Rattus norvegicus: one gene and its partner. The protein of the gene in region 1 purifies or fractionates together with the protein of each later gene. This does not show direct contact. Links are inferred from orthologs where the notes say so. Each region holds a gene or a part of one and is shown in the gene's direction. Other genes may lie near its edges.

What was found.
Region 2: the proteins of Rbm17 (region 1) and Snrpa1 purify together in Homo sapiens (affinity purification with mass spectrometry; 5 studies listed by BioGRID and IntAct, with this or other methods). This does not show direct contact. The link is inferred for Rattus norvegicus from reciprocal best matches to the Homo sapiens genes RBM17 and SNRPA1.

Annotation. Positions count from the first base shown.
Region 1 is NC_086035.1:71,849,678-71,853,492, forward strand, and holds part of Rbm17 (splicing factor 45), read left to right. Parts: intron 1-1,560; coding exon 1,561-1,677; intron 1,678-2,981; coding exon 2,982-3,148; intron 3,149-3,815. UniProt on the Homo sapiens protein: Splice factor that binds to the single-stranded 3'AG at the exon/intron border and promotes its utilization in the second catalytic step. Involved in the regulation of alternative splicing and the utilization of cryptic splice sites.
Region 2 is NC_086019.1:129,061,807-129,065,686, forward strand, and holds the end of Snrpa1 (U2 small nuclear ribonucleoprotein A'), read left to right. Parts: intron 1-580; coding exon 581-674; intron 675-3,047; coding exon 3,048-3,106; 3' UTR 3,107-3,308; downstream 3,309-3,880. UniProt on the Homo sapiens protein: Involved in pre-mRNA splicing as component of the spliceosome. Associated with sn-RNP U2, where it contributes to the binding of stem loop IV of U2 snRNA.

The DNA of each region.
Region 1 (3,815 bases):
CTCAATATTTGTCCTTGAGCTGTCTGTGTAGACCAAGGTGGCCTCAAATTCAGAGATGTGCCTGCCTCTGCCTCCCAAACTCTGGGATCAAAGGTGTGTACCACCACACCCAGCTGTGCAGATATTTTAATGTCAGCTATTAGCAATTGTCTTGAGATTGCACATAGATTTTAATCAGTCAGAATGGAACATTACTTTAAACCATCTGCTAACCTTCTGACATGAGTTTTGAGGACTATCATCTGTGTGGTTGATTTCTTATGAGGAAGTGAAGTTACATTGTATTGTTTCTCTTGGGCTCTTTGGTGAATTTCTCAGAGTACTAACCAAACTTTTAAAAATACTTGGTATGGAAAAATTTACCTGTATCTGAAAGGTGAAGGTTTGATTTCATTTGTATTTCATTTTTGAAAAATTAAATTTTAAAATGACTAAATAAGTGATTGACATAATGCCCATTATGGAAAGTTAGGGTTTATATTGTGGTTTTGTATATAATACCTTGATGATATGCTGTTTGCCTAGAGCACCATTAAAATCCAGAGAGCTCAGACTTCCTGATAAGAATGAAAGTTTGTACCACTTTAAATTTTAAAACCGAGAAGTTAAACTTTGGTGATCACCGTCAGTCCGTCCGCATGATCTGCCATGGCATCCTGGCAACCTGAGGATTTGGTGGTGTTCACCAGCTTGCTGTACGATATTCTTGTCTACTACCTTTAACCTCAACCTAAACAGGTTTTAGATCTGCTAGAACTTAGAGCTGTAAGTTAGGGAGACATATGTAGCAGCACTTGTAATAACAGTGTCCCAGAGAAAAACAAAGAAGATGGAGGTGGTGTGTGCTGAAGATTTGGAAATCAAAAGCACGTTTAGGAAACAGGGAGGGGTGGTGAGGCGGCTCGGTGAGTGACAACGCCTGATGACCCAAGTTGGATCCCTAGAACCCTATAGTGTAAGAAGAGACCCGGCCCTCACACATGCATGCACACCCAAGTATGCATGCATACAAACATACATATAGACAGGCAGACAGACAGATTGAATAATTGTTGTCTGGTTGGGGTAGTCATTCTAAAAGAAGTAGGATAGGGCTTGCCCTCTGGAGACAGACAGGTAGGTCTGTAAGTTTAAGGCCAGCCATAAAGTGGCCACACTTACTATAAACTGTATAGATAGAGGAAATCTGCTTTTAAAAAAGAGCAAAAGGGAATGAAGCTGTAGCTCAGTTGGGAGTGTTTGCCTAGTTTCCAGGAAGGCCTGTGTTGAAGCCCCTGTGTATAAACTGGGTCTGCTGCTCAGTCAGCACTCAGCGGTGGAGGGAGGAGAACAGGAGTCCAGGTTCATCATCGGCTGCAGAGGGCACTGGAGGCAGCCTGGGCTCCCTAAGACCCCTCAGCAAACAGTAAGCACACTGATTGTGTTAGACTCTTAACTGCTTTAAGGATGATTTTATCTCAGCCAAAGGTTTGTTACAGAGACCAGAAAAGGTGTCTTTGTTGCAAGTACCATGAATTTTAATTTGGATGTTTGGTGCATTTTTCTTGTTTCTGGTGTCAGAGCCAAAGGACAAAGCAAAGTACAGTCCTCGCTCCAGTCATCGACCTGAAGCGAGGAGGCTCCTCAGATGACCGACAGATCGTAGACACGCCACCTCATGTGGCAGCTGGGCTGAAGGTAAGCCGTACCCACCTGTGGTTTGAAGCATTTTCCACGTTTCTTTATTTTACATGTATGTTCCTCTCTTTATGAGATTTATCTCATGTGTGTGTGTGTGTGCGCGTGTGTGTGCGTGTGCGCGCGCGAGTGCTTGAGCGTGCTTGCTCACTCATGCACACACCCATGGAGGCCAGAGGAGGCCTTAGATCTCTTAGGGCTGGAGTTAGGCATTTGTGAACCTTGTGTGGGTGCTGATAACCGAGTTCCCAGCCATCCTCTGATAGAGCAGTAAGCACTGTAAACCTCTGTCCATCTCCAGCCCCCACAAGGGTCTCTTCAGTAGGCCACTGAAAGCTAGTATTATTACCTAAAATAGTTTATTATGGAAACTTCAGGAATGAAAGATGGGTAAAAATGAAAAGTCTATCTTTTTAATCATACATACCTTCTATGCATTACAAAATTACATAATTTTAGAATATCTTTCTGTAACTTCTCGGCCTTCTGCTCTCTAATTTGTGTTTAGTGATTGTCCATTTCTCCTTTTCAAAACAATAGAACTACACGGTCATTTAAACATACTTTTATGAGTGTGTGAGTGTGTTGTCCTCATGTTTCAGTACACTGCATGTGTTCCTCTTGCCTGTGCGGATGCATCCCTAGGATGGTGGTGGGACAGTTGGGGGCCACTGTATGTGTGATGGGAGTGAGACCTGAGTCCTCTGGAAAGCCAGTCAGTGACTTTATTAATGCCTATCTCCAGTCCCTGTATGGCCAGTGTTAATAGTTTCAGTGGATTGCCTCCAGTGGATTAGCTATAACTTCATTCTTCTAATGTAAACCGTAAGGTTATTTCTAACTGTCTGTTACCAGTGTTAGAAGTCATTTTAAAGAAAGGCAAAAGGGGGGGGGGGGGCGTAATGCTGCATGTTGTTAATAGAACGGGCTCCTATTATGAAGCCGAAGGCTTGGGAGTTGTTCATGTCATCCTTGGCTATGTGTCTGTAGCACTGTGAGACTCTGGAGGGAGCACGGGAAGTCTGGAAAATGGTAATCCATTTTCACATGTACAGATGTCACTCAGATGCCAGTTTAAACCTCACTTAAGACTTACCGTGATTGTCAGTGCTTTTCCCAACATAAGCTTTTGCCTAACTGCCAGGTTGTGCTGCCATCTGGTGAGGGGAGGCCTCAACTCACCAGGAAATAAAGGATCCTTAGATAATCTGGAAGGCCTCTCTTGCCTCATCCTGGGACCTTTGCTTCTCTGATAACCCTGCAGGATGTGATACGGCACTCACTCAGGTGTTCTTGTTCCCCAGGACCCTGTGCCCAGTGGGTTCTCTGCAGGGGAAGTCCTGATCCCCTTGGCTGATGAATATGACCCAATGTTTCCTAACGACTATGAGAAAGTGGTGAAGCGCCAGAGAGAAGAGCGGCAGAGGCAGCGGGAGCTGGAAAGACAGAAGGAAATAGAGGAAAGAGAAAAGTAAGCTTCATCTTTTTTGGGGGGGAGGGGCGGTCTTTTTTTCGGAGCTGGGGACCGAACCCAGGGCCTCGAGCTTCCTAGGCAAGTGCTCTACCACTGAGCTAAATCCCCAACCCAGGCTTCATCTTGATGTGGAAACAAGTGTGCATTAGAATCTGAGTGAGTTTTAGTATGGTCTCTGGGCCTGAGGTTATGGCTTCAGTCACCAAGAGTTTCCTTGTTTTCGTTCCATCCCACATTGATAGCACACTTGAGGAAATGTATGTGTAGACTCTGAAGACCTAAAGCGTAGACTTTGTGTGGATTAGAAAAAGAACTTAGAAAGCCCACTGGTATCCAGGTGTGGTGGTTCATGGCTGTAATCCCACCCACATAGTGTTCAAGGCCAGCCTGTTTCAAAATCAAAACAACAGAAACCATTGTTGAAAGTTTTGCAGGGTTCGTGACTGCTAGAATCACAATATTTACAGTATTTCAGTGCTGTTCCTTTACTATATTTTGGTTTTGGTTTTTTGAGACAGGGCTGCTCTGTAACTGGCTGTTCTGGAAATCATTCTGTAGACCTCAAATGTAGAGATCCACCTGCCTCTGTCTCCTGAGTGCTAGGATTAAAGGCTTGGGCCACTACACCTGGCTTCCTTTCCTATTTTTGAGCCAAGTGAAGTTA
Region 2 (3,880 bases), on another chromosome or scaffold:
ACTGGAGAGAGCCAGGTTGGGGCTGACAGTGGTGTCCTAGTACTGAGCCTTGTAGAGCCCATCTTCCCATAGTCCTAAGGACACTGGTATTCTAGTTCAGGAAAAAACTGCCTTAAAGCTACTCTTTGATCAGACTTTGATTTGAAGTAAATAGATAAAGTAGTTGAAGGCATCTGTATTCTTCTCCTTTTCCCAGGATCCATTTACTTCTTTGAGCAGTTAAGTACCTGGGTGTGCAGTCTTGGAGATTGCCTTAGTTTCTTTGCTTTCCAAGATTTGCTGGCTGACAATCCTGGTTGGAATGTAGGTAGAAAATCCTAAAGTCTCCAGTAACAGGATTCCAGACAGACTTAGCTTTTTAAGGGCATATGAAATGATCACTTCTCTTTTACAAGAGCCTGAATCTCCTCCTAAATATGAAAATTGACAGCCTGTTTTCTAGGTTGATTTGTAATGTGCCAGTGAAATCCTTCCCTGACCCAGAACTGTGTGGTTGATGTTCTATGGGAAAGTGCTTGGGCCTTCGGTGGTGCTTTCCGGGTACTGGTCATCACCATCTCCCCTTTCCTGTGTTTTCTAGAATGCCATAGCAAACGCGTCAACACTGGCTGAAGTTGAGAGGCTGAAGGGCTTGCTGCAGTCTGGCCAGATTCCTGGCAGAGAGCGCAGATCAGGTGAGGAAACTCTTCTGTCTGAACTTGCAAAACGTCACACTAGAGTGATTACACAATACTAGCTGACTATCGTGATGATTAGGCCCATAATCCCTGTATTTGGGAGGTTAAGCCAAGAGGGTAAGAAGTTGAAGGTCATTTGTGGCTACAAAACAAGTTTGAGACCAGCTTGGGCTATACAAGACCCTTTATCAAAAAAAGGGAAAGAAAAGGAAAAAGAAGAACAAAGGCAGGAGGCAGGGAGGGTCAATAAAGAAATTTAAGCCACTGGGATATGTATGGGGTCTTTACAAGTTGTAGTAAAACATTTCATATGGACGGAACTAGGTTCTAGAGGTGACTGAACTTCTGAGACACATGCTGTATAAAGGACATGTTGGTGGACTGACGCGCTGCATATACAGTAATGATTCCACAGGGCAACAGCTTCAGAATTCCTCCACCTGGTATTCTACTGTGTTTTTTCTGTGCTTAGATATGTACAGATGCATTCAGTTCTCTGTGTTATTGAGAGCAGTGACATGTTGTCTATGTGCATAGTTTAGGAAAACAATTGCCTTCACCAGGTGGGTTAATAGCCTCTACCATTTAGGTGTGTGTAAGTGTCAGGTTCATCTTCACAGAATAACAAACTCTCCAGTGGTGAAAAGTTTAGACCATAATCTCTGGAAGCAAGGTGTTGCTGTAAATGGTAGTTTAGTGGGTCAGCACAGGCCTTATGAAGAGCCTGACCAGTACTGTCCTTGGGCAAGTTTCATCATTAAAGGTAAATATCTTCATCTTTAAGTTTCAGATAGGTACTGTCATTAAAGGTTTTCGGGAAGACTGCTGTGTTTGCTAGGTGTTAACAAGTCTGTTGTTCAAATGTCCAATTTGTGTCCGCATGTCAAGCACTAGAGATGCACTATTCAAGTACAGTAAACACAGTACAAATTTGAGTATGAGTATCCCTGGAACGACTACCATGACAGCTTCCCAAGGATCATTATCTTTGAGCTGTTTTGGTTCTTTTTAGTTTTTGTGACCCTAGTCAGATTTAGTCAGATTGCTTGCATGAGTATGAGGTAAGGGTGCTTGCTGGAGCAAGGGCAAGTTACAGTGGGTACCCTGCTGAAGAAAATGGCTCTTCTACTTCAGCAGCTTTCAATTGTCAGTCGCTCCTCAGGGAGAGTGTATGAGATATTTTTAAGAACTGTGGAAGGGGTTGGGGATTTAGCTCAGTGGTAGAGCTCTTGCCTAGCAAGCACAAGGCCCTGGGTTCAGTCCTCAGCTCCGGGAAAAAAAAAAAAGAACTGTGGTACTGTGTGGTCTCTAGGCCCCTGGGGACAGGCAAGGTAAAATTATTTATGTAGTAACTCCAAGATGTTCGCTTTTTCCATTTAGTAGCATCTTCAGTGGTTAAAAACTGCTGGTGCCTCAGCAAGGCCAAGGGATGCTACTTGCTCTCTTCTTCCTTACTTCCACTCCCATTAAATATATACCATTCTGTCATGGTCCTCCATGAAGAAATAAAAGTGATTTTTCTGTGGTACTGAAGATAGAGCTCAGTAATAAAACCATGTTTAAGTCCCTGAGTTCAGTCCCTAGCACTGACCAATGATAAAACTGAAGATTTGAAGCAAAAATTAAAATTTGGAAAACTTGGGCTGGGGATGTAAATCTGGTAGAGCACTTCCCTGACACACAGGCTTCACCGTTACTAGAAAGACAGTTAAAGAAAATGTAGGTCTGTGGGTCTAATGTTACAAACATTTCTGGGGACGTCAGTGGGGCTGCTAATGAATCATGAAAGTCAGCATTTGAAAGACGTACAAGTGTTCAGGTGCTTGCTGTGGGTACAAGGTGCACTCAGAGTGCAAGGTAGAGTAATGGGCTGGAGGTGAGAATGGGAAGGATTCCAAGAAAAATTCAACTTCACTTTGTGAGCTGTCTGTAAGAAACTGCTGGTATAGCCAAACAACGCGTGGTAACGTGTATCCATCTGGAAAACTGCTGTTTGCTTCCAAATAATAGGCAGACTTGCCAGTAGTTTCCCCAAACATTTGAATATGGCAAAACTTTTTGGTGTGTGTGCGCGCGTGTGCATGTGTGTGTGTGGTTAGAGACAGGATCTCTCTACATAGCCCTGGCTGTTCTAGAATTTACCAAGCTGGATTTCAAACTCAGAAATCTGTAGAAATCTGCCACAAATTGTGGAACACAGTTGACAGTCGTGTGTGTGTGTGTGTGTGTGTGTGTGTGTGTGTGTGTGTGTGTGTGTGTGTGTACGTATGCACATGCTCATGTATGTTCATTTTTTTAATCAGTGTGTGTGGCATGAGAGTGAGTAGGTAATACAGAATGGACGTAACGTGTTCCGTGGTTCTTTCTTAGGGCCGAGTGATGAGGGTGAAGAGGAGATGGAAGACGGCACAGTCACAAATGGGTCCTGAGCTCTGGCAGGTGCTCTGATAAGCTCGTGGGATGTCTTGCATTTGAGCATTGAGTAACAGCCTTGCTTGTGTCAGCAACGTGGAATCTGCAGCTTTGCTGAATGATCAGAACTACTGCTGATAATTTTTTAATAGAAACCTTGAAATGGCAATGCCAATTTTCTACAAATGGTAAATAAAGGCAACCTACTGTGCTGCCAAACTGTGTGCCCTGTGTTTGCCGTGAGGTATGCGGTGGTTAAGTGAGAAATTGGAGAGCTGGTATTCCAGAATAGACATTACTCCTGCTCCTGAAATATTAGATTCTTCCTGAAGGTAAAGGCAGGAAGCCTTCAGGACTAAACACATAGGCATTCTGTGACCTTTTTAATCAACATACATGAGCATCTCACAAATCAATTTAAAATGATTTGAAAATTTTTAAATAGGAAATGAGACATTTGCTTGTTGGTGCTATAGCATGAGCAAAAATAATCTTCCAGCCTGTGGGACAGAGGCACAGAGGTCATGGTTTCTCCGTGGGGCAGGTTAAAGCACATTTTCCTTGGCATCTGGGCTTCTTACTGTATTCCTTATCTAGGAAAGATTTTGTTATTAAATACCAGTGCCTCAGTTTCCCTGCTCTGCCTTGTTGCCTTGAGAATAGTGCCTCCCACTGAGCCTCTCTTGCAGCCAGCAGGCGAATCCCAGCACTCTTCTTATCTCTGCTCCACAGTACTGGGCTGTAGGTGTGTGGGTACACAGACCCAGTTTTTTACCTGGGCTATAGGAATT